6 linked regions of the Xenopus tropicalis genome follow. The protein of the gene in region 4 interacts with the protein of the main gene of each other region in a pairwise test. Links are inferred from orthologs where the notes say so. Each region holds a gene or a part of one and is shown on either strand. Other genes may lie near its edges. The genes, in order: fosl2, batf, tnfsf12, ddit3, dbp and mcmbp.

What was found.
Region 1: the proteins of ddit3 (region 4) and fosl2 interact in binary tests that used the Homo sapiens proteins (3 or more experiments, as listed by UniProt). The two-hybrid records come from large-scale screens. The link is inferred for Xenopus tropicalis from reciprocal best matches to the Homo sapiens genes DDIT3 and FOSL2.
Region 2: the proteins of ddit3 (region 4) and batf interact in binary tests that used the Homo sapiens proteins (3 or more experiments, as listed by UniProt). The link is inferred for Xenopus tropicalis from reciprocal best matches to the Homo sapiens genes DDIT3 and BATF.
Region 3: the proteins of ddit3 (region 4) and tnfsf12 interact in binary tests that used the Homo sapiens proteins (3 or more experiments, as listed by UniProt). The two-hybrid records come from large-scale screens. The link is inferred for Xenopus tropicalis from reciprocal best matches to the Homo sapiens genes DDIT3 and TNFSF12.
Region 5: the proteins of ddit3 (region 4) and dbp interact in binary tests that used the Homo sapiens proteins (3 or more experiments, as listed by UniProt). The link is inferred for Xenopus tropicalis from reciprocal best matches to the Homo sapiens genes DDIT3 and DBP.
Region 6: the proteins of ddit3 (region 4) and mcmbp interact in binary tests that used the Homo sapiens proteins (3 or more experiments, as listed by UniProt). The two-hybrid records come from large-scale screens. The link is inferred for Xenopus tropicalis from reciprocal best matches to the Homo sapiens genes DDIT3 and MCMBP.

What each region holds. Positions count from the first base shown.
Region 1 is NC_030681.2:5,731,226-5,735,283, reverse strand, and holds the start of fosl2 (fos-related antigen 2), read right to left. Parts: upstream 2,801-4,058; 5' UTR 2,609-2,800; intron 1,033-2,608; 5' UTR 987-1,032; coding exon 876-986; intron 1-875.
Region 2 is NC_030684.2:82,351,310-82,355,302, forward strand, and holds the start of batf (basic leucine zipper transcriptional factor ATF-like), read left to right. Parts: upstream 1-1,193; 5' UTR 1,194-1,954; coding exon 1,955-2,020; intron 2,021-3,226; coding exon 3,227-3,331; intron 3,332-3,993. UniProt on the Homo sapiens protein: AP-1 family transcription factor that controls the differentiation of lineage-specific cells in the immune system: specifically mediates the differentiation of T-helper 17 cells (Th17), follicular T-helper cells (TfH), CD8(+) dendritic cells and class-switch recombination (CSR) in B-cells.
Region 3 is NC_030679.2:147,513,829-147,517,328, forward strand, and holds part of tnfsf12 (tumor necrosis factor ligand superfamily member 12), read left to right. Parts: intron 1-980; coding exon 981-1,022; intron 1,023-3,358; coding exon 3,359-3,437; intron 3,438-3,500. UniProt on the Homo sapiens protein: Binds to FN14 and possibly also to TNRFSF12/APO3. Weak inducer of apoptosis in some cell types. Mediates NF-kappa-B activation. Promotes angiogenesis and the proliferation of endothelial cells. Also involved in induction of inflammatory cytokines.
Region 4 is NC_030678.2:140,584,251-140,588,325, reverse strand, and holds the start of ddit3 (DNA damage-inducible transcript 3 protein), read left to right. Parts: upstream 1-1,275; 5' UTR 1,276-1,379; intron 1,380-4,075. UniProt on the Homo sapiens protein: Multifunctional transcription factor in endoplasmic reticulum (ER) stress response. Plays an essential role in the response to a wide variety of cell stresses and induces cell cycle arrest and apoptosis in response to ER stress.
Region 5 is NC_030683.2:105,053,694-105,057,193, reverse strand, and holds part of dbp (D site-binding protein), read left to right. Parts: intron 1-2,222; coding exon 2,223-2,555; intron 2,556-3,500. UniProt on the Homo sapiens protein: This transcriptional activator recognizes and binds to the sequence 5'-RTTAYGTAAY-3' found in the promoter of genes such as albumin, CYP2A4 and CYP2A5. It is not essential for circadian rhythm generation, but modulates important clock output genes.
Region 6 is NC_030683.2:6,240,572-6,244,613, reverse strand, and holds the start of mcmbp (mini-chromosome maintenance complex-binding protein), read right to left. Parts: upstream 2,801-4,042; 5' UTR 2,681-2,800; coding exon 2,623-2,680; intron 1-2,622. Other genes in the region: sec23ip (SEC23-interacting protein), read left to right, coding at 3,116-3,248. UniProt on the Homo sapiens protein: Associated component of the MCM complex that acts as a regulator of DNA replication.

The sequences.
Region 1 (4,058 bases), on a different chromosome or scaffold from region 4:
AGGGGGCAGTTCAGTGGGCAGTACAGAGGGCAGGGGGCAGCGGGGAGTACAGTGGGCAGAGGGCAGTACAGTGGGCAGAGGGCAGTACAGGGGGCAGTACAGAGGGAAGCGGGCAGTACAGAGGGCAGCGGGCAGTACAGGGGGCAGTACAGAGGGAAGCGGGCAGTACAGAGGGCAGCGGGCAGTACAGGGGGCAGTACAGAGGGCAGCGGGCAGCACAGCGGGCAGAGGGCAGTGGGCAGTACAGCGGGCAGAGGGCAGTACAGGGGGCAGCGGGCAGTACAGTGGGCAGTACAGGGGGCAGTACAGTGGGCAGTACAGGGGGCAGTACAGTGGGCAGTACAGGGGGCAGTACAGGGGGCAGTACAGGGGGCAGTACAGTGGGCAGTACAGTGGGCAGTACAGGGGGCAGTACAGTGGGCAGTACAGGGGGCAGTACAGCGGGCAGTACAGCGGGCAGTACAGGGGGCAGTACAGCGGGCAGTACAGCGGGCAGTACAGTGGGCAGTACAGTGGGCAGTACAGCGGGCAGTACAGGGGGCAGTACAGTTGGCAGTACAGGGGGCAGTACAGGGGGCAGTACAGGGGGCAGTACAGGGGGCAGTACAGTGGGCAGTACAGGGGGCAGTACAGTGGGCAGTACAGTGGGCAGTACAGTGGGCAGTACAGTGGGCAGTACAGGGGGCAGTACAGTGGGCAGTACAGCGGGCAGTACAGTGGGCAGTACAGGGGGCAGTAACACAAGATAAAGCAGACACAGGCATGTAATACAGAGGACAAAGGCAGGAATGTTCTGGGAGTGGGGAGGGAATACACAGGGAGAGGCAGAGATTACAGAAGGGGGGGGGCAAATGGGAAGGGAGAGTGACCCTCACCTGCAGGATGGAGGTAGATAAGGTGCTGCTGGGGTAACCCTCAGGCTGGGCTGGGGAGCTGCTGCTGCCACGGGAGGAGCTGTCGAAATTCCCTGGATAATCCTGGTACATGATCTGAGCTCTGAACTCACAGGGTGGGAGGCTGCCGGGGTCCAATCTTCAAAAAACACATACGGAAAGGCAATCAGACACTGGCACCCAATGTGTGCCCATATACCCACTGTACCCTGTGCCCATATACCCTCTGTACCCTGTGCCCATATACCCTCTGTACCCTGTGCCCATATACCCTCTGTACTGTGTGCCCATATACCCTCTATACTGTGTGCCCATATACCCTCTGTACCCTGTGCCCATATACCCTCTGTACCCTGTGCCCATATACCCTCTGTACTGTGTGCCCATATACCCTCTGTACTGTGTGCCCATATACCCTCTATACTGTGTGCCCATATACCCTCTGTACCCTGTGCCCATATACCCTCTGTACTGTGTGCCCATATACCCTCTGTACCCTGTGCCCATATACCCTCTGTACTGTGTGCCCATATACCCTCTGTACTGTGTGCCCATATACCCTCTGTACCCTGTGCCCATATACCCTCTGTACTGTGTGCCCATATACCCTCTGTACCCTGTGCCCATATACCCTGTGTACTCTGTGCCCATATACCCTCTATACTGTGTGCCCATATACCCTCTATACTGTGTGCCCACATACCCTCTGTACCCTGTGCCCATATACCCTCTGTACCCTGTGCCCATATACCCGCTGTACCCTGTGCCCATATACCCTCTGTACCCTGTGCCCATATACCCTCTATACTGTGTGCCCATATACCCTCTATACCGTGTGCCCATATACCCTCTGTACCCTGTGCCCATATACCCTCTATACTGTGTGCCCATATACCCTCTGTACCCTGTGCCCATATACCCTCTATACTGTGTGCCCATATACCCTCTATACCGTGTGCCCATATACCCTCTATACTGTGTGCCCATATACCCTCTATACTGTGTGCCCATATACCCACTATACTGTGTGCCCATATACCCTCTATACTGTGTGCCCATATACCCTCTGTACTGTGTGCCCATATACCCTCTATACTGTGTGCCATATACCCTCTATACTGTGTGCCCATATACCCAATGTACTGTGTGCCCATATACCCACTATACTGTGTGTCATATACCCTCTATACCCTCTCATATACCCACAATTTACCCATATACCCAGTGCAATGTGTGCGACTGTGCCCCCATACCCACTGTGCCTCCATACTCACTGTGCCCCCATACCCACTGTGCCTCCATACTCACTGTGCCCCCATACTCACTGTGCCCCCATACCCACTGTGCCCCCATACTCACTGTGCCCCCATACCCACTGTGCCTCCATACTCACTGTGCCCCCATACCCACTGTGCCCCCATACCCACTGTGCCTCCATACTCACTGTGCCCCCATACCCACTGTGCCTCCATACTCACTGTGCCCCCATACTCACTGTGCCCCCATACTCACTGTGCCCCCATACCCACTGTGCCCCCATACCCACTGTGCCCCCATACCCACTGTGCCCCCATACCCACTGTGCCATGTCTCCATATCCTACATTGGGACACTTCTCCATATAATTGCTTTCTGTCGGATCACCCCCCCACGCCGTATACCCGCTGATCCATAAGACATATACCCGCTGATACCCTGGCAAGAGATGCCCCCACCTTGTTAATCCAACTCAGCGGGCGCCCAGTGGGGCGAATAGATATAAAGTGCCAGGCCCGGCCCTGTAATCCAATGGGTGCTGTCAGTGCGATCTCTCTCCCATAGGGTGCTGGGTGCGCTGCCGGCTGTGCTGCCGATCCAAGTGTCCTGCCCCAGGTACTCTTAGTTATCCCGATTGTACAGCGCTAGGTACTCTTAGTTATCCCGATTGTACAGCGCTAGGTACTCTTAGTTATCCCGATTGTACAGCGCTAGGTACTCTTAGTTATTCCGATTGTACAGCGCTAGGTACTCTTAGTTATCCCGATTGTACAGCGCTAGGTACTCTTAGTTATCCCGATTGTACAGCGCTAGGTACTCTTAGTTATTCCGATTGTACAGCGCTAGGTACTCTTAGTTATTCCGATTGTACAGCGCTAGGTACTCTTAGTTATCCCGATTGTACAGCGCTAGGTACTCTTAGTTATTCCGATTGTACAGCGCTAGGTACTCTTAGTTATTCCGATTGTACAGCGCTAGGTACTCTTAGTTATTCCGATTGTACAGCGCTAGGTACTCTTAGTTATTCCGATTGTACAGCGCTAGGTACTCTTAGTTATTCCGATTGTACAGCGCTAGGTACACTTAGTTATTCCGATTGTACAGCGCTAGGTACACTTAGTTATTCCGATTGTACAGCGCTAGGTACTCTTAGTTATTCCGATTGTACAGCGCTAGGTACTCTTAGTTATTCCGATTGTACAGCGCTAGGTACTCTTAGTTATTCCGATTGTACAGCGCTAGGTACACTGCAGGCTGTGCTGCTATTCCATGTGTCCTGCACTAGTTGCACTCCCAGCTGTACGGCACAGGGCACACTGCCGGCTCCTCTGATCCCCCCGGCTGGGCTGGAAGTCGCACTTCTGACTGGGCAGATCTGTCAGTACGGCACAGGGCACACTGTACAGCGCCGATGACACTGCCGCTGGAGCTGCGCTGGGTGAGTCAGACCGGAGTCACTCTGATCACTGACTGAGCTACCAGCGCTCCCAATGCGACTCAGGCTCCTCCCCCGGGGCGTGGCCGCCCTTGTTTCCTGCGGAGAGTGGGGCAGTACCAGGCCGGGGGGGGTGTTACCCTGCGCTCTCACCTCTTTCTTCCACTTGCCCCGACCTGCCCGCTCAGCTCTGCCCCCCCCGCACTATTGGACTATCCCAGCTGTTGGCTCCCCTGCCAAGCGCTTGGTTCGCTCCATTGACGCAAGTAGCAGCCATATATGGGCAGTGACGCAAGCGGGTTCCCTTGGTTGGAGTGACGTGTGCGGGAGGGATTCCCTGGCTGGCTCGGAGCACCTGCTGGGCTTGGGAAGGTGGGGGCTCCGTACTACGGGCCATTGTAGCGCTTAGTATTGAGGCTTCAAATGGGCCTTTGGCAATACATGGTGGGTAGGGGAATACAGTGAGTAATATC
Region 2 (3,993 bases), on a different chromosome or scaffold from region 4:
TGTATGGGGGGGTGTTCTGTGTATGGGGGTGCTCTGTGTATGGGGGGGTGTTCTGTGTATGGGGGTGCTCTGTGTATGGGGGGGTGTTCTGTGTTTAGGGGTGCTCTGTGTATTGGGGGGTGTTCTGTGTTTGGGGGTGCTCTGTGTATGGGGGGGTGTTCTGTGTATGGGGGTGCTCTGTGTATGGGGGGTGTTCTGTGTTTGGGGGTGCTCTGTGTATGGGGGGGTGTTCTGTGTATGGGGGGTGCTCTGTGTATGAAGGGCACTGTGTATGGGGGCACTGTGTATAAAGGGTACTGTGTATGGGGGGCACACTGTATGGGGGGCACTGTGTATAAAGGGTACTGTGTATGAAGGGTACTGTGTATGGGGGGCACACTGTATGGGGTGCACTGTGTATAAAGGGTACTGTGTATGGGGGGTGCTCTGTGTATGGGGGCACTGTGTATAAAGGGTACTGTGTATGGGGGGCACACTGTATGGGGGGGCACTGTGTGTAAAGGGTACTGTGTATGAAGGGTACTGTGTATGGGGGGCACACTGTATGGGGTGCACTATGTATAAAGGGTACTGTGTATGGGGGGCACTGTGTATAAAGGGTACTGTGTATGGGGGGCACGCTGTATGGGGGCACTGTGTATAAAGGGTACTGTGTATGGGGGGCACGCTGTATGGGGGGCACTGTGTATAAAGGGCACTGTGTATGGGGGAACTGTGTATGGGGGACACGCTGTATGGGGGGCACTGTGTATGGGGGGCACTGTGTATGGGGGGCACTGTGTATGGGGGGCACTGTGTATAAAGGGTACTGTGTATGGGGGGCTCTGTGTATAAAGGGCACTGTGTATGGGGGGCTCTGTGTATAAAGGGCACTGTGTATGGGGGGCTCTGTGTATGAGTCTCCCCTGTGTGGGGGGGCAAAACTGGTAGATAGTTAGAACTCACATATAACTCACTGCCTTCTCTCTATATTTGTATTTATATGTGGGAGTTGCTATATTGTTTTCCTTAGGTAGTACAGTATGAGGGTATAGCACATTTGCATCTGATCCCACCATTTCAACTATATAAAAGGAGTTTTTATAGAAAACAATGGGGTGTGTTAATTGGGGCGTGGCCACAAAAGTGGGCGTGGTCAAAAATTTGCCGCGCTGCACGCACCAATTCTTTTTGGCCCTCTTTTCGGTTTTCAAATGTTGGGAGGTATGAAATATAGCGTTATAGGTGGCACTAATGTGATTCTGATTGGCTGTTAGCCTGCAGAAGTTTCTGTTTGGAGTTAAACTGTGTCTCTGTGCTTCCAAAATTTGCCTCCAAGCCAAACTTGAGGCCACTGGGAGCAAGCCACTGGTTGGGGATAACGGCTCTAGGCAAATTACAAAATATACATGCATCTTGCATCATTTAGATACCTGTCTGATTGTGTATGGCCACCATAGGATCTTATGCTTCTATTGCAAAAACTGAGGCCAGAAAAGCAGCTAGCACTATTTTGAACATATTATGCTCCACTCGTTATTTTTTCCACATCAGTAATAACATCTTTGAGAAATACAGTGAAACACTACTCACCTCACTCCTCCCACACACTCCTCTCTGATGACATGTGGGGTTTTCCTGGGTATTTTTCACCTTGTCCCCAATGTGTTTTTGATTTTTTTAGCTGACATTTATAACATGTTTCTGTCATGTGACTTCCAACTCCGGTCCCCAGACACCAAAACCACGCGGAAAGGTGACAGGGAGAGGTGGCTGCGTCATGGGTGAGAACCTTGCGAGAGAAGAACCAGAGGAAGAAACGTAAAATAGACGTGAAGACTGCAAAGGAAGTACAAGTTCACACAAAAGGGGCAGCAACTGACAAAGGCTCCGATTCCCCTGAGAAACAGGAAAAGAAACCAAGTGCAGAGAAAAAGTTTGACGGACAAAGCAGCCTCAAGAGGCTAGGGGGGACATGCAACAAGAGCCTGATAGAAATGAGCAGGGCTACTGCAGCTCTCCCCCTTCTAGCAACAAACAGGTAAGCCAAATGCTCTTAATCTACTGTGGCCATAAGAACACCAGTTGGATATGGACTTTTATTGCCTCTGATGTCTCAGCCTTTCTCTCATGTCACAGTGCATATTCCATTTGATACCCCAGGATCTATACAGTGTAAAAGCCTGCTATTCTTATAGGTCTATATTGATTAAGGGGTGGTGTTTTAATTTTAAGCCAGAATGTTAAGGATTCTTAAAAATGAAGAAATATCACAGAATTCATTAGGTATTATCAGGTCTTGTAAGAGCTGATGCACACTGCCATTTACTATGTTAATATGGTTGTAAGAATTTTTACCACTGGACTGCAAAATTACAGGTGCATTGTACACATTGTGTTTAATTTTGTCTACTGAATGATGTAATAACACTAATTCCTGTTGGTATAACCACATTAAGTGATGCATGTAATCACCCAGATGAATGATATCTCACATTGTATTTTTCACTGTGATAACATTATTACCTTTAAAGGATAAGTAGGATAAAACAGTGGGGGTGCCAATATGTTGGGTAGCCCCCAGTGAGGCAAATCACTAACTTTGCCAGCAAGGATACTTTCTTGAAGAGCACTGCACTGTACTGCTATTTTGATGCCAATAATTCAATATCTCCTGGGTCCACTGAGCAGGTGCACATGCTGAATAGTTAACTCATCATAAGTTATTGTGGCTCCGACATCGCGGTACTTCAATAAAGTATCCTGTACCATTGTGTTTTTATGGAACAAGTATACCATCCCAGGCCACAAGATTTGCCCTACTTTGTTACCCAACATATTGGCAATCCCCAGTACTCGTCTGTAAATGATCTCTATGGCATGTCATACATATATTTTTTGCTCACATTAAACTGACCAAGTGCTTGTACATTAAAATCCCAGACCATGTTGGCAAATGGGGATTGTAGCACACATGTACTTACCCTTACTATGTACAGATCAGTACAGATTATCATTAAAAAATCCACACCAGATGCCTGATAAAAATTGTTACCCACTTTTGCAACTGCCTTTTTCCAGTGTGGGGTCGGTGATATAAAAGGATAAAGCCTGCTGTGGAGTTTTCTAGTTAATGCTAGTCTCTGATTATTTCTATGTGACATCAAGGATTTTAGCACATATCACATCCTATCATACATAATAGTCTTCATGCAGTCTAACACTCTCTAGTTGCCTTCTTTGTAAGGATTCTTCAGACGACACAAAGAAAATTCAGAGAAGAGAGAAAAATAGGATTGCAGCACAGAAAAGCCGCCAGCGGCAGACACAGAAAGCAGACTCTTTACACATTGTGAGTATGCAGGCAGAGTGACTCTTGTATGCTCATTACTGTACATGATTCTCTGCAGAATACTGTACATATACCATACTGTAGACCAAAATTCAGCACCCTGGAATTTACTTTTTTGAACTGCAGACCAGTGCAAATTTGTAGAAGTGATGCAGTGTGCTATGCTGCCTGATTTTCATTTATTTATTGATCAACAACTTTCTGTTTGCATCCTCTCTGTATGTAGCAAATCTCCCTTTTACCTCCCATTACAGGAAGACACCCCCTCCCCTCCAAACTCACAGCCCCCTCTCATCTCTCCTCCTCCCCCCCACTCCCCTTTCCTGTAAACGGAGGTTTGGTTTCTGCTGCTGTATTTTGTAAATTTAACATAACAAAGTGCAAAGGTATTTTACTATTTCTATCTTAATGTGAGCTATAGCCACTACATTTACTTGTATATCATATATATATATATATATTTATTTATTTTTTTCATTTATATAGCACTTCTTGTAAATGTAATACAATAAAACATTTAGGTAAAAGGTGACAAGACCAACCCTTAAATACGTTCATGACATATGAGATATAAATGCGATACAGTAATAAGTAAGCCAATGTGATATTTTATCCTTGAGACATAGAGAGAGTGTAGGGATACACAGTTACTTCCTCACACT
Region 3 (3,500 bases), on a different chromosome or scaffold from region 4:
CTGTTAGTGTGAGGGTATGTTGGCGTTAGAGCGCTGTTAGTGTGAGGGTATGTTGGTGTTAGAGCGCTGTTAGTGTGAGGGTATGTTGGCGTTAGAGCGCTGTTAGTGTGAGGGTATGTTGGTGTTAGAGCGCTGTTAGTGTGAGGGTATGTCGGCGTTAGAGCGCTGTTAGTGTGAGGGTATGTTGGTGTTAGAACGCTGTTAGTGTGAGGGTATGTCGGCGTTAGAGCGCTGTTAGTGTGAGGGTATGTTGGTGTTAGAGCGCTGTTAGTGTGAGGGTATGTCGGCGTTAGAGCGCTGTTAGTGTGAGGGTATGTTGGTGTTAGAGCGCTGTTAGTGTGAGGGTATGTTGGTGTTAGAGCGCTGTTAGTGTGAGGGTATGTCGGCGTTAGAGCGCTGTTAGTGTGAGGGTATGTCGGCGTTAGAGCGCTGTTAGTGTGAGGGTATGTCGGCGTTAGGGCGCTGTTAGTGTGAGGGTATGTCGGCGTTAGAGCGCTGTTAGTGTGAGGGTATGTCGGCGTTAGGGCGCTGTTAGTGTGAGGGTATGTCGGCGTTAGAGCGCTGTTAGTGTGAGGGTATGTTGGTGTTAGAGCGCTGTTAGTGTGAGGGTATGTCGGTGTTAGAGCGCTGTTAGTGTGAGGGTATGTTGGTGTTAGAGCGCTGTTAGTGTGAGGGTATGTCGGTGTTAGAGCGCTGTTAGTGTGAGGGTATGTTGGTGTTAGAGCGCTGTTAGTGTGAGGGTATGTTGGCGTTAGAGCGCTGTTAGTGTGAGGGTATGTTGGTGTTAGAGCGCTGTTAGTGTGAGGGTATATTGGTCTTTGAGAACTATTAGTTGCAAATAGCAAACCAAGGCAGTTAGAGCTCCCCTAGAGGCTGCCACAGGTAATGCAGAACTTTCATTCCCCACTATCAGCTACACACAGGCATGTATGTATATTATATGTATGTAACGCAGGGAACTCTGTGTTTTCTCTTTAAAGGATTTGCCCCCCCAGCAGCAGCAGCTGGACTCCGACACTCAGGTGAGACCCCCATATATATAAATGGGACAGTGTGTCTGTACGGAGACCCCTACACCTCCCTGTGCTACTGTGCCGGGCACAGCATTGTGTGTATATATATACTGTATATCAGAAGCATTGTGTGTATATATATATACTGTATATCAGAAGCATTGTGTATATATATATATACTGTATATCAGAAGCATTGTGTGTGTATATATATATACTGTATATCAGAAGCATTGTGTATATATATATATATACTGTATATCAGAAGCATTGTGTGTATATATATATATACTGTATATCAGAAGCATTGTGTATATATATATATATACTGTATATCAGAAGCATTGTGTGTATATATATATATACTGTATATCAGAAGCATTGTGTATATATATATATATACTGTATATCAGAAGCATTGTGTATATATATATATATACTGTATATCAGAAGCATTGTGTGTATATATATATATACTGTATATCAGAAGCATTGTGTATATATATATATATACTGTATATCAGAAGCATTGTGTGTATATATATATATACTGTATATCAGAAGCATTGTGTATATATATATATATACTGTATATCAGAAGCATTGTGTATATATATATATATACTGTATATCAGAAGCATTGTGTATATATATATATACTGTATATCAGAAGCATTGTGTGTGTATATATATATATACTGTATATCAGAAGCATTGTGTGTGTATATATATATACTGTATATCAGAAGCATTGTGTGTATATATATATATACTGTATATCAGAAGCATTGTGTGTATATATATATATACTGTATATCAGAAGCATTGTGTATATATATATATACTGTATATCAGAAGCATTGTGTGTATATATATATATACTGTATATCAGAAGCATTGTGTGTATATATATATATACTGTATATCAGAAGCATTGTGTATATATATATATACTGTATATCAGAAGCATTGTGTGTATATATATATACTGTATATCAGAAGCATTGTGTGTATATATATATATACTGTATATCAGAAGCATTGTGTGTATATATATATATACTGTATATCAGAAGCATTGTGTATATATATATATACTGTATATCAGAAGCATTGTGTGTATATATATACTGTATATCAGAAGCATTGTGTATATATATATATATATACTGTATATCAGAAGCATTGTGTATATATATATATATATACTGTATATCAGAAGCATTGTGTGTGTATATATATATATATACTGTATATCAGAAGCATTGTGTGTATATATATATACTGTATATCAGAAGCATTGTGTGTATATATATATATACTGTATATCAGAAGCATTGTGTGTATATATATACTGTATATCAGAAGCATTGTGTGTATATATATATACTGTATATCAGAAGCATTGTGTATATATATATACTGTATATCAGAAGCATTGTGTATATATATATACTGTATATCAGAAGCATTGTGTGTATATATATATACTGTATATCAGAAGCATTGTGTGTATATATATATATACTGTATATCAGAAGCATTGTGTGTATATATATATATACTGTATATCAGAAGCATTGTGTGTGTATATATATATACTGTATATCAGAAGCTGTATATAGACCCCTACACCTCCCTGTGCTACTGTGCCGGGCACAGCATTGTGTATATATATATACTGTATATCAGAAGCATTGTGTGTGTATATATATATACTGTATATCAGAAGCATTGTGTATATATATATACTGTATATCAGAAGCATTGTGTGTGTATATATATATATACTGTATATCAGAAGCATTGTGTATATATATATATATACTGTATATCAGAAGCTGTATATAGACCCCTACACCTCCCTGTGCTACTGTGCCGGGCACAGCATTGTGTATATATATATACTGTATATCAGAAGCATTGTGTGTGTATATATATATACTGTATATCAGAAGCATTGTGTATATATATATACTGTATATCAGAAGCATTGTGTGTGTATATATATATATACTGTATATCAGAAGCATTGTGTATATATATATATATACTGTATATCAGAAGCTGTATATAGACCCCTACACCTCCCTGTGCTACTGTGCCGGGCACAGCATTGTGTATATATATATACTGTATATCAGAAGCATTGTGTGTATATATATATACTGTATATCAGAAGCATTGTGTGTGTATATATATATACTGTATATCAGAAGCATTGTGTGTATATATATATATATACTGTATATCAGAAGCATTGTGTGTATATATATATACTGTATATCAGAAGGAAAGCTCATTAGAGGAATGGCTCACTGTATAAACCTTATTGCCCCCAACAGATCTATTACCAGAATGTATGGGAGAAGCAGCAATATCTGTACCAGAAGCTGAGGGAGAAGAGCCGGCCCAAGCGCGCAGGTAGCCAATGGGCGGATGTGTTAGTGCCGGGGGTAGCGAGGCCTCGCCCTGTACGTGGGGCAC
Region 4 (4,075 bases):
CAGCAAATTTAAAGAGTGGTGGTACATTAAAGAGTTATACATCTATACCCAATGCCTAGCACTAGCCTCAGTAATTAAAACAGTCAATGCTTAAATAACTCGTTTTTCCATCAGGAAAACCACCATCCCACCTGTTACTGCTTCAATATTTTCACCTTAGTATTTTTGCTATTTTAAATTGATGCTGTTCAGCTAACATCCGCTGTCCATCTACATTGACACTATCAAGTGACTTCATTTGACCACATTAACTTCTATTACACCTAAGGATTCCATTGTTTTTCATGATTTTTTTCATACATATTTTGTACAGGTTTTTTAATATAGACTTTTCATGGATTTTTTTTTTTTAAATAAAGATGTATTCATTATGTACATGGCAAACTGGAATAAAATTATTTTTGAGTAATGAACTGTATAATTAGATACATTATAAGGTGGTATTAAGAAGCATATTTATTTCAGTGTGTAAGCCAACATGACAGGTAATGTTGCCCATGGCAACCAATAAGCAATTAGATTTTAATAATCACAAGTTAGAAACAAAAGCAAATATCTCATTGGTTGCTATCGCCTCAAGTCATGCTGGCTTATACACTATAATAAATATGCCCCTGTGTGTTTTAGTTGGTATACTAGCCAGCTACATTTCTAAAGTGAAATTGCTTTAAATAATTGGAACGATAAAAAACCCGGCACCTTATACAATTTTGGCGTTAGGATTAGTCGCTAGTTGTTTCTAGCAACGCAGGTTTTATATCTCTCTGTATTACTTCTTTAGGTTTAGTTCTCGCTATTTATGTTGCTTTCTTATGATAAAACCAGGTTGCGGACAAGGTCGTACAACCTGAAGGTGAAAAGCAAGCTTGGAAAGTCCCTCGGGTTGGGGGAAGGCTTGGCCCCAGCTTGCCAGCTCTTGCATCACCCACTATGACTCACTCTCGTCTCGTGATTTCCAACAAAACACTTCCGCAACACACCCTCTGACTGCACAACAGCATACCCAAGTGTCTCCGCCTTTAGGCTTCCGGTTGACGGGCCTCTGCGTTTCATACCTCGTTATGCTTTTTCAGCTAGCCTTCTAATTGGCTGTAGAAGGCACCTGGGGGCTGGCAATAGAAGTCCTCCCCGGAACGTCTGGCTAGAGGCGAATGAGGAAGCAATAGGATAAGGGTCGTGTACGCTAGATTGGGATCGACGATCTGATTGGCTAAGGCAGCGAGCTATATAACGCGGCTTCTTCGCACATATCCTCAGTCGTTTTGCTGAAGACGCAGACGATGTTTAACATGAGCCCACAGTCTCTTAACGTGCAACCACAAACCAGCTCACGCTGTCGCTTTATTTGTCAAAAGAGAACAGACCCTACGTGGAGAAAGGTATTGTTATTTCTTGTGTTCATATTGATTACAGCGAGTTTTGGACATAGGTATCGGCATCTCCTATGTGTGCCTTTAATCCGGCTCTAGTAAGGCAAGCGCACAGTGACGTTTTTTTGTGACCATTTTATTATTCCAACGCTGTGCAGAGCCTGAGTCTATAAGATGAGAGATGTAGTTCATCTTTAGTGTTGATACTGGTAAGACTGTTCGTTCTGGTATGGTCCATTAGGGGAGATGCTCTATAATTTCTTTAGAGTCTGTTTTGTTGGTTGGGGCGAAATGTATGTATGTATGTATGTATGTCTTTATTTATAAAGCGCTACTTATGTACGCAGCACTGTACAGTAGAATACATTAATACAAACAGGGGGTTAAAGATAATGGATAAATACAAAGTATAACAATAAATACAAATAAATACAAGGTACAGTTGCAATAAGAGTCAGAAACAAGATGAACGAGGTCCCTGCCCCGTAGAGCTTACAATCTATATGGGACCAAAAGGGCAAAGAGTGCTCAGTTCTAGAACCTACGGCATCCCAGGTATCTGAGGCTTATGAATGAGTGGAGGCAGGGCCAGTCAGTGCTGGTTAAGCCTGTCCCAGAGCCCACTCTCGCACTGCTGCCGGTTACAGAGCCCAGGATTACAATACAGCGGTGGCTCCCCCTCCCTTCCTCCCTGTTGTCTCTCAGCTGGAGCAGCCAGGCAGACACAGCAGCCCAGCAGCAGATCCCACTCTCCAGCTGTCCGGACCCCAATGTGACTCCCATCACACAGCAGCTGGCATAGATTAAGCACTAAAGCTGGCCACATGGTGGTCGCACAAAAGATCGTTCCAACCCTCCGCTGACATTCAGGGCTGAAACGGCAGATATGGAGGTACAAACAACAGGATTTCTACCTCCTTCTGTCGATTCAGCCCTGAAGGCAGATTTTGCTCAGACGCCTTCAATGGCTCCCGACTGGAGTGTCGACCGATATCCGCAACCTTCTGCGATATCTGTCGCCTTGCCGAGTTGCCATACACGCACCAAATATCGTATATTATCGGTGCGTGTATTGCCTGACTTCATAGCCATTTAACTTTATCCCACTCCTGGTGCTGCTGTAAGGCAACCAGGGGGGTTGAAATCAGCCAAGGCATTTATTAAACCCGATAAAGGAGAGTACAGGCACAGACCAGTAATAAAATGCTTGTCCTACAGGCATATTCATTTGCCCTTTTCCAAGGACTGTCTGTTAATGATTCCTTATCTCCTAAACACTGGAGCATACCATATACATCATTTGATAGAGCTTGTCACAGAATAGGACAATGGAACACTGCTGGCCAAAACAAACGGCAATTCAGTTATCCAAGCTGTCGTGATTTCTTATGTTTCCATTTTCTGCTGCTCAATTTCCTCAATTTTCCTCTCACGGGATGTAAGTTGGTGATCCATTACCTGCCCTATATTATTGTAGATGGTAGAATCTAAAACTATAGAAATTGCACATGCCAGATGAAATTTAGGCTTCCACCCCCCTGGCCAAACTGAACTAAAATATTTAAGAGCAAAATTAAAGTCATGGGCAGAGTCTTTAACAATTAACTAAATGCTCTTTCTGAAGAGTCCAAAGAGCTTGAATTGACTGCTTAAATCTGCCTGTGTATGGCCACCTTTACTCACAAAATGGATATTACAAGGCACCCATAGTTAAACAGGTGCTGAGAGTGACTGTAGAACCAACAACAAGATGATAAAATGAAACCAATCACTATCTTGTTTAATGTCCATTTGTTTAACTGAATATAAATACAGGCTGCTTTCCTTCAGGGCAATGTCACAAACATTTTGTTCCCCTTTGCTAAATCTGCGCTGCTCCAGCTGACAAAATATCCCAAATTTCCTTCCCAGCGGCAGTAATATGAATTAATGGTGGGAAAACCTAGTGAAGTTTTGTTGCTTGCAGTAGAGCAGATTACAGCGGCCAAAAAAATCCCTGTATAATTCCGCTTGGGTCCATTCCCACACTAAAGGTTCCCATACATGGGCCGATTGTAGCTGCTGATATTGGTCCCTTGGACCGATATGACAGCTTATCGGCTCCTGTAGGGGCAGAAGTGACGGCCATACCCGACCGATATCTGCCCCAAATTGGCCATATATCGATCGGGCCAGTTAAAAGATGCGGTCCCCGAACTGACTGCCCCATTGCCGCCATTATAATTAGATTGTTTGGCCCCAGAGCTAAACGATTGAATTGGCCTACATGTTCCCTGATATTGCCACCTGTAGGTGTGGATATTGGTTGAAGATCTGCTCACTTGGCGACCTCGCCAAGCGAGCGAATCTTCACGTGTATGGGCACCTTTTAGATCTGTGTTCGGTTAAGGGTGTTTAGAGGGGAATTACCTTTTTTTTTAACCGAGCTGGCAAAGTTTTATAGTTGTTTTATGGTGCATGTTGTGTGAAGGTTATTTGTATAAAAAAAAAAAAAAATAAAGACTAACCTGTAACAGTAACCAGTCTCGAGGCCTATTGTATTCAAGATCCTAATTTAGTAAGCACTACCTGCAGATTGGTTGCTATGGGTTACTAGATCTAGTTGCCATTTTGATTACATTGCCTCCTTATTGCTTAAGATCTCACTAAGACTTAAGCTGGCCAAACCAGTACTACATTTTGTATGATTTTCAGTCCATGTGTGG
Region 5 (3,500 bases), on a different chromosome or scaffold from region 4:
AGGAGATGCATCAACTATGCGGCGATCGATTGATCGAGCCTAGCCTGACTCCTTCCTATACAGAAGTCAGGCTAGGCTCGATCAATCGATCACCGCATAGTTCATGCATCTCCTGATACTTCCCCTGCATCGCCGTATCGCCTTTGTTCAAATGACAGGAAGCCGAGTTTTTAACAGGTATTTTCTACTAAAGCATTCAAAATAACAAATGGTTTTCAGGATAGGGCAATTACTGGGGGAGGGTAGAATAGATTTTTTAGTTAAAAGTTTTTAGTGTTACTTTTCTTTTAAGGCCTAGGCCTGGCCCCTCTAATTGAAGGTCTGCAGGTTGGATGGGCCAAAAGTAGCCCTCCAGGCAAATATTATGGCCCTAGCCTGCACAAGAGTTCCATAACCTTGTTTGGATGACATCACAGTGGCAAAAGGTTTGATGCTCTGGTTTCCACCCATGTTCCAAAAAATCATACAGAGAGGTTTACTGTGTAAATAAAATGTTGTCACATCATCATCATTTTAATATAATCTGGCTTGTAAATATTCTGTATAACGAATAAATTGACCTCTACATGGAAAAAGTTGGACAGCATAGCCTCAGCCATTAGTGTTGCCATCAGAATCCATCTTGGCTTCTTCTGACTAAACAGTACTAAACATTAAAGGGTCCATACAGATGTTCTCCACTGCTGGCATGTCTGCTTGTCTCATTGGGCACTGATTGCAACAGTTCAGGCACAAGCTGATCCACCACAGTGTGAATACACCAGGCATCACACAAGTAGATCATTGGGTTTAACAGAGCAGTCAGGTGACATGAAGCAGAGTACAGTATAAACAAACACCCAGTCACTTCCTATTGGCTGAATCCCCAACTTACTAGCAGAGTGCCAGCAAAAGAAACCAATGGAGAAAAAACAGTAAGAATTTAAAGCTTAAAATGCAAAAAAGTCTCCTGCTTGGCCTTCTTTAGTATTTTTGTTTATTTTATAGTGTGGGGCACCTACCTGGCCAGTTTTTTACAGGCCCTGTCAGTTATAATGGTGGCAATGGTATATATGGGGCGAAAGGTAACATAGGAGGGCTAGTCATTTATTCCACAAGAGATGGCAATGCTACTGTTATATGTGGCCTCGATTGCTCAGATGGATGGGACAGGAAAACTTATACAGTTTTCAGTACAAGCTCAATGATTATTATTATTAAAGGGGTGGTTAAACTTTAGGTTAACTTTTAGTATGTTATAGAATGGCCAGTTCTAAGCAACTTTTCAATTTGTCTTCATTACTTATTTTTTATAGTTTCTTTTATTATTATTATATTATGCGCCGTCTTCTTTTGACTTTTTCCAACTTTCAAATGGAGGGTCAGTGACCCCAGCAGCCAAAAATAAACTATTGCTCTGTGAGGCTACAATGTTATTGTTATTGTTACTTTTTATTACTTATTTTTCTAATCAGGTCCTCTCCTATAAATATACCAGCCTCTCATTCAAACCCCTCCTTAGTTGCTAAGATGATTTGAACCCTAGCAACCACATAACTAAACAAAAAGTGAAATAATTAAAAAAAAACACCAAAAATAAAGACCAATTGCATATTATCTCAGAATATCACTTGCTACATCATATTAAAAGTTAACTTAAAGAGTGAACAACCCCTTTAAGTGATAGCGCCACAACTGATGCTACATGCAGTCTTTGGTGAAAGCTGAAAGTTGTTGTGCTGCGACAGCTGGAGGACAAATGCTACTAATCCGTGTATTGGGCGGTTTAAGTTTAGAGGAAATTTCAGGCTATTAGTAAAATTTGTGGTTGGGCTGGCAAATCTCCAGATAAAGCATAAATTATGTCTTGCACACACAAAGGGACTGTTATTTCTTTCTTTTGTTTTTTGTTTTTTTGCAGCTTGCTGTTCCTCTTTGTAAGGATGGTGCCATAAATGATTATGTGCAAGGTTGGGAAATTTCAGCTGTCAGGGCATTCTGGGAATTGTAGTTCAGTAACATCTAAAGAGTAACAGGTTGCTCTCTCCATTTCATTTATATATTCTGGGATACTAAAGCACCAATAAACTGCACAGTGTGACCTTTGGCCAGGAGAAATCTATTTTAAGAAAATAATATTTTGATTTTTGACTGGGTCAGTTCTCATTAGCTTCAAATATGATGTCAGATCTGAAGCATAAGGGAAGTTTTTTTCTTTCAACTTCTTTCATTCTCTCCCAAAGGTATAATGAAAGAAAAGGAGAGGAAACTAGAAGATGACATGACTGGTCCTCGTCCCGCTCACTGTGCGTTCCTGGGGTCCCTACTGTGGGAACGCACATTGCCATATAATGAAATAGAGTATGTGGACCTGGATGAGTTCCTACGAGAGAATGGCCTTCCTCCAAGCCCACCTCACCAGCCCTTCTCACCAGCGAATCTGACGCCACCTCCATCTAACCAATCAGTGGTTGATCTCAGCCGACCGGCCTCCTGCGCCTCTTCTACCTCCGCCTGTTCTTCTCCTGTGCAAAGCATGATTGACAGTGAATATGAACATCCAAGCAGCCAAGCAGGTACAGACCGTTTTTTGCTATGTCTGCACTCTTTCACTTTAAAAACATGTAAGTGGCTATAAATACTTTCCATTGGTTCCAAAAGTAATGCCTGTGAGCATGGGGCTCTGAGTGGAAATCAAGTTACAGTTTTTTAGCCTGTTCCATGCGCAATGTGCAAAAATCACTGAAATTCTACCTGTTTTTTTTAACTTAACTGAGTATAGGCAGTGTACAGGTATGGAACCTGTTATCCAGAATGCTTTGGACCTGAGTCTTTCCGGAATTTGGATCTCCATATTTTAAGTCTGCTAAAAATAATTTAAGCTTTAAATAAATCCAATAATATTTACAATTTTTGAATTATTTGATTAAAATAAAATCTTTGGGAGATGACCTTCCCATAATTCAGAGATTTCTTAATAACAGGTTTCCAGATAACAGATTCCATACCTGTATATACATTACATATATAATACATTATAAAATTCAAAATACAAGGCTAATTAGTAATTCCTTCAGATTCATAATACAACACAGCATACAAACTACTGGGTTCTGCATCAGGATTGCAATAAAACATTATCTTCTATGTCAAATGTAGTGTCATTTTTTTACTAACATTTCAATGATTTTTTATGACCTGCTAAGGTTAGCTTTTTGGCACTAGCCTAGAGCAAGGCTGTCCAACTGGAGAACTGCGGGCCTGGACGTGTCCCTCCAAATAATTTTTATAGCCCCCAATCATGGCTGTACTTTACAGACATGACATCATGTGCAACCTGTGTGTGACTTTACATACTCCTTACATCGCGGAAGTCACATGCAAGATGTAATTTTTGCAGCCTGAAGCGGCCCCCTGCCCCTCCAGCTCTGATGCCAGAAATCTACGGTGGAAGCTGGGAGCATATTTTATCTAAAGATTAATAAATCAAATACATAGGGCCACCTCCCCAAAAGCTCCCG
Region 6 (4,042 bases), on a different chromosome or scaffold from region 4:
AAGCAAAACGCTAATAGCTGAAAGGGATAAACATGATATTCAGTAAAGTTGGTCTTTTTTCTACCTGAGCTACTACGTAACTGTGTAATGCACTCACACCCATGTCCTGATTCAGGGTACAGTAGCCTGGGGCCCCCCAGCTGCTATTGGGGCACATCCTGTGCAGCGCTAAACCCAGTGCCCACCTAAGTGAGAGGGTGCCACCCAACACTACATACCTGTGCCACCCCCATGCATACAGCGAGCAGGGAATGTGGGTGCTGGGTGCCACAGTTCAACAATCAGGGATCGTTGGGCTACTAGAGGCCGCTCCATACTCAGCAGAGATGGCATGGTGCCACAGGTGCCATCACACTAAAGGGCATCTTTATATTAGGGTGTAAGCAAACATCACTAGTCATGTTGCCATAGCAACCAACCAGATATTTACATTTTAGAACTTATAATGTTGCCTACACACTATAATAAATATGCCCCTAAATGGGTTTTCTCTACCCGCCCGCCTGCCCCACTCATGCCCGGCTCTACCCGCCCGCCCCACTCATGCCCGGCTCTACCCGCCCGCCCCACTCATGCCCGGCTCTACCCCCCCTCATGCCCGGCTCCGCCCGCCCCACTCATGCCCGGCTCTACCCGCCCCACTCATGCCCGCCCCACTCATGCCCGGCTCTACCTGCCCGCCCCACTCACGCCCGGCTCTACCCGCCCGCCCTCCCCCCAACTCATGCCCGGCTCTACCCGCCCCACTCATGGCCCGGCTCTACCCGCCAGCCCCACTCATGCCCGGCTCTACCCGCCCGCCCCACTCATGCCCGGCTCTACCCGCCAGCCCCACTCATGCCCGGCTCTACCCGCCAGCCCCACTCATGCCCGGCTCTACCCGCGGCCCACTCATGCCGCGGCTTCTACCCGCCCGCCCCACTCATGCCCGGCTCTACCCCGCCCCACTCATGGCCCGGCTCTACCCGCCCCACTCATGCCCGGCTCTACCCCGGCCCCCCATGCCCGGCTCTACCCGCCCCACTCATGCCCGGCTCTACCCCGCCCCATCATGCCCGGCCTGCTACCCGCCCACCCGCCCCACTCATGCCCGGCTCTACCCGCCCGCCCCCATCATGCCCGGCTCTACCCGCCCGCCCCACTCATGCCCGGCTCTACCCGCCCCACTCATGCCCGGCTCTACCCGCCCCACTCATGCCCGGCTCTACCCGCCCGCCCCACTCATGCCCGGCTCTACCGCCCCACTCATGCCCGGCTCTACCCGCCCCACTCATGCCCGGCTCTACCCCGCCCCACTCATGCCCGGCTCTACCCGCCCCACTCATGCCCGGCTCTACCCGCCTGCCCCACTCATGCCCGGCTCTACCCGCCCGCCCCACTCATGCCCGGCTCTACCCGCCGCCCCCACTCATGCCCGGCTCTACCCGCCCGCCCCACTCATGCCCGGCTCTACCCGCCCCTCACCCGCCCCACTCATGCCCGGCTCTGCCCGCCCCACTCATGCCCGGCTCTACCCGCCCCACTCATGCCCGCTCTACCCGCCCCACTCATGCCCGGCTCTACCCGCCCCACTCATGCCCGGCTCTACCCGACCCGGCTCACCGCCCCACTCATGCCCGGCTCTACCCGCCCCACTCATGCCCGGCTCTACCCGCCCCACTCATGCCCGGCTCTACCCGGCCCCACTCATGCCCGGCTCTACCAGCCCCACTCATGCCCGGCTCTACCCGCCCCACTCATGCCCGGCTCTACCCGCCCGCCCCACTCATGCCCGGCTCTACCCGCCCGCCCCACTCATGCCCGGCTCTACCCGCCCGCCCCACTCATGCCCGGCTCTACCCGCCCGCCCCACTCATGCCCGGCTCTACCCGCCCGCCCCACTCATGCCCGGCTCTACCCCGCCCACTCATGCCCGGCTCTACCCACCCCACTCATGCCCGGCTCTACCCGCCCGCCCCACTCATGCCCGGCTCTACCCCCCCCACTCATGCCCGGCTCTACCCGCCCCACTCATGCCCGGCTCTACCCGCCCGCCCCACTCATGCCCGGCTCTCTACCCGCCCCCACTCATGCCCGGCTCTACCCGCCCCACTCATGCCCGGCTCTACCCGCCCCACTCATGCCCGGCTCTACCCGCCCCACTCATGCCCGGCTCTACCCGCCCCCACTCATGCCCGGCTCTACCCGCCCCACCCATTGCCCGGCTCTACCCGCCCCACTCATGCCCGGCTCTACCCGCCCGACTCATGCCCGGCTCTACCCGCCCCACTCATGCCCGGCTCTACCCGCCCCACTCATGCCCGGCTCTACCAGCCCCACTCATGCCCGGCTCTACCCGCCTGCCCCACTCATGCCCGGCTCTACCCGCCCGCCCCACTCATGCCCGGCTCTACCCGCCCGCCCCACTCATGCCCGGCTCTACCCGCCCCACTCATGCCCGGTTCTACCCGCCCCACTCATGCCCGGCTCTACCCGCCCCACTCATGCCCGGTTCTACCCGCCCCACTCATGCCCGGCTCTACCCGCCTGCCCCACTCATGCCCGGCTCTACCCGCCCCACTCATGCCCGGCTCTACCCGCCCCACTCCTGCTGGCCCGGGGGCCGGACGCTGCCCCACTCACCAAACAAGCCCTGTACCACACCGAGCGGGTCGCTGATCCAGCTTTCTCCTCCAGTCATCGCGCAGACACCAAAGACTCGTTGAACTAACTCAGTGATGGCGGGAAAAAGACGTCACTACGCAATGGGTCGCGTCAAGCGCTCCCGAAACGCACTGGTTGGCGGAAATCTCCATGAGCGCGGCCATGTTTTGGCTGGAGTGCACGTAGCGACTGGCGGAAGTCCTCAGCCGGGCAGCCACATTATAGTTAGCGAAAGGGATAGGAACCTCTGGAACCGCCCTTTTATCTAAACGCACGGTTTAATTGGTGGAGCTGAGGTGCTACGTCATGCATATGAACTTTGCTCTTCAGCCACTGGTTGGGGAGGTTTGTGTTTGGCGAGTTCTCATTGGATAACGCGGAACGCCCGTAGGTATTGATTGGACGTACTCACTTGGTGACGGGTCCGGTTCCTGCTGTCCCGGGTGGGTTACGTGGAACTTGTGGGACGGACATGGCGGGGAAGGTACCTAACGGGGCTCAGTCCGGGCCGCCTGGCAACAACCTGCTCTTCTCCGCCTCCGAGATCAGCTTCTCCCTTCCCTTCATCCCTGTGAGCCAGCACGGCCCCGCAATGCTTCCGAGCGGTGAGTAAAGGGGCCCCTCACTCCTACTGCCCAGTGCCCCCCAACCCTGTCCTACTGCCCAGTGCCCCCCAACCCTGTCCTACTGCCCAGTGCCCCCCCAACCCTGTCCTACTGCCCAGTGCCCCCCAACCCTGTCCTACTGCCCGGTGCCCCCCACCCTGTCCTACTGCCCAGTGCCCCCCAACCCTGTCCTACTGCCCAGTGCCCCCCAACCCTGTCCTACTGCCCAGTGCCCCCCAAACCCTGTCCTACTGCCCAGTGCCCCCAACCCTGTCCTACTGCCCAGTGCCCCCAACCCTGTCCTACTGCCCAGTGCCCCCCAACCCTGTCCTACTGCCCAGTGCCCCCCAACCCTGTCCTACTGCCCAGTGCCCCCAACCCTGTCCTACTGGCCCAGTGCCCCCCAACCCTGTCCTACTGCCCAGTGCCCCCCAACCCCTGTCCTACTGCCCAGTGCCCCCCAACCCTGTCCTACTGCCCAGTGCCCCCCAACCCTGTCCTACTGCCCAGTGCCCCCTACCCTGTCCTACTGCCCAGTGCCCCCAAACCCTGTCCTACTGCCCAGTGCCCCCCAACCCTGTCCTACTGCCCAGTGCCCCCCAACCCTGTCCTACTGCCCAGTGCCCCCCAACCCTGTCCTACTGGCCCAGTGCCCCCCAACCTGCTGCCAGTGCCCCCAACCCTGTCCTACTGCCGTGCCCCCAACCTGTCCCTACTGCCCAGTGCCCCCCAACCCTGTCTACTGCCCAGTTGCCCCCAACCCTGTCCTACTGCCCAGTGCCCCCCAACCTGTC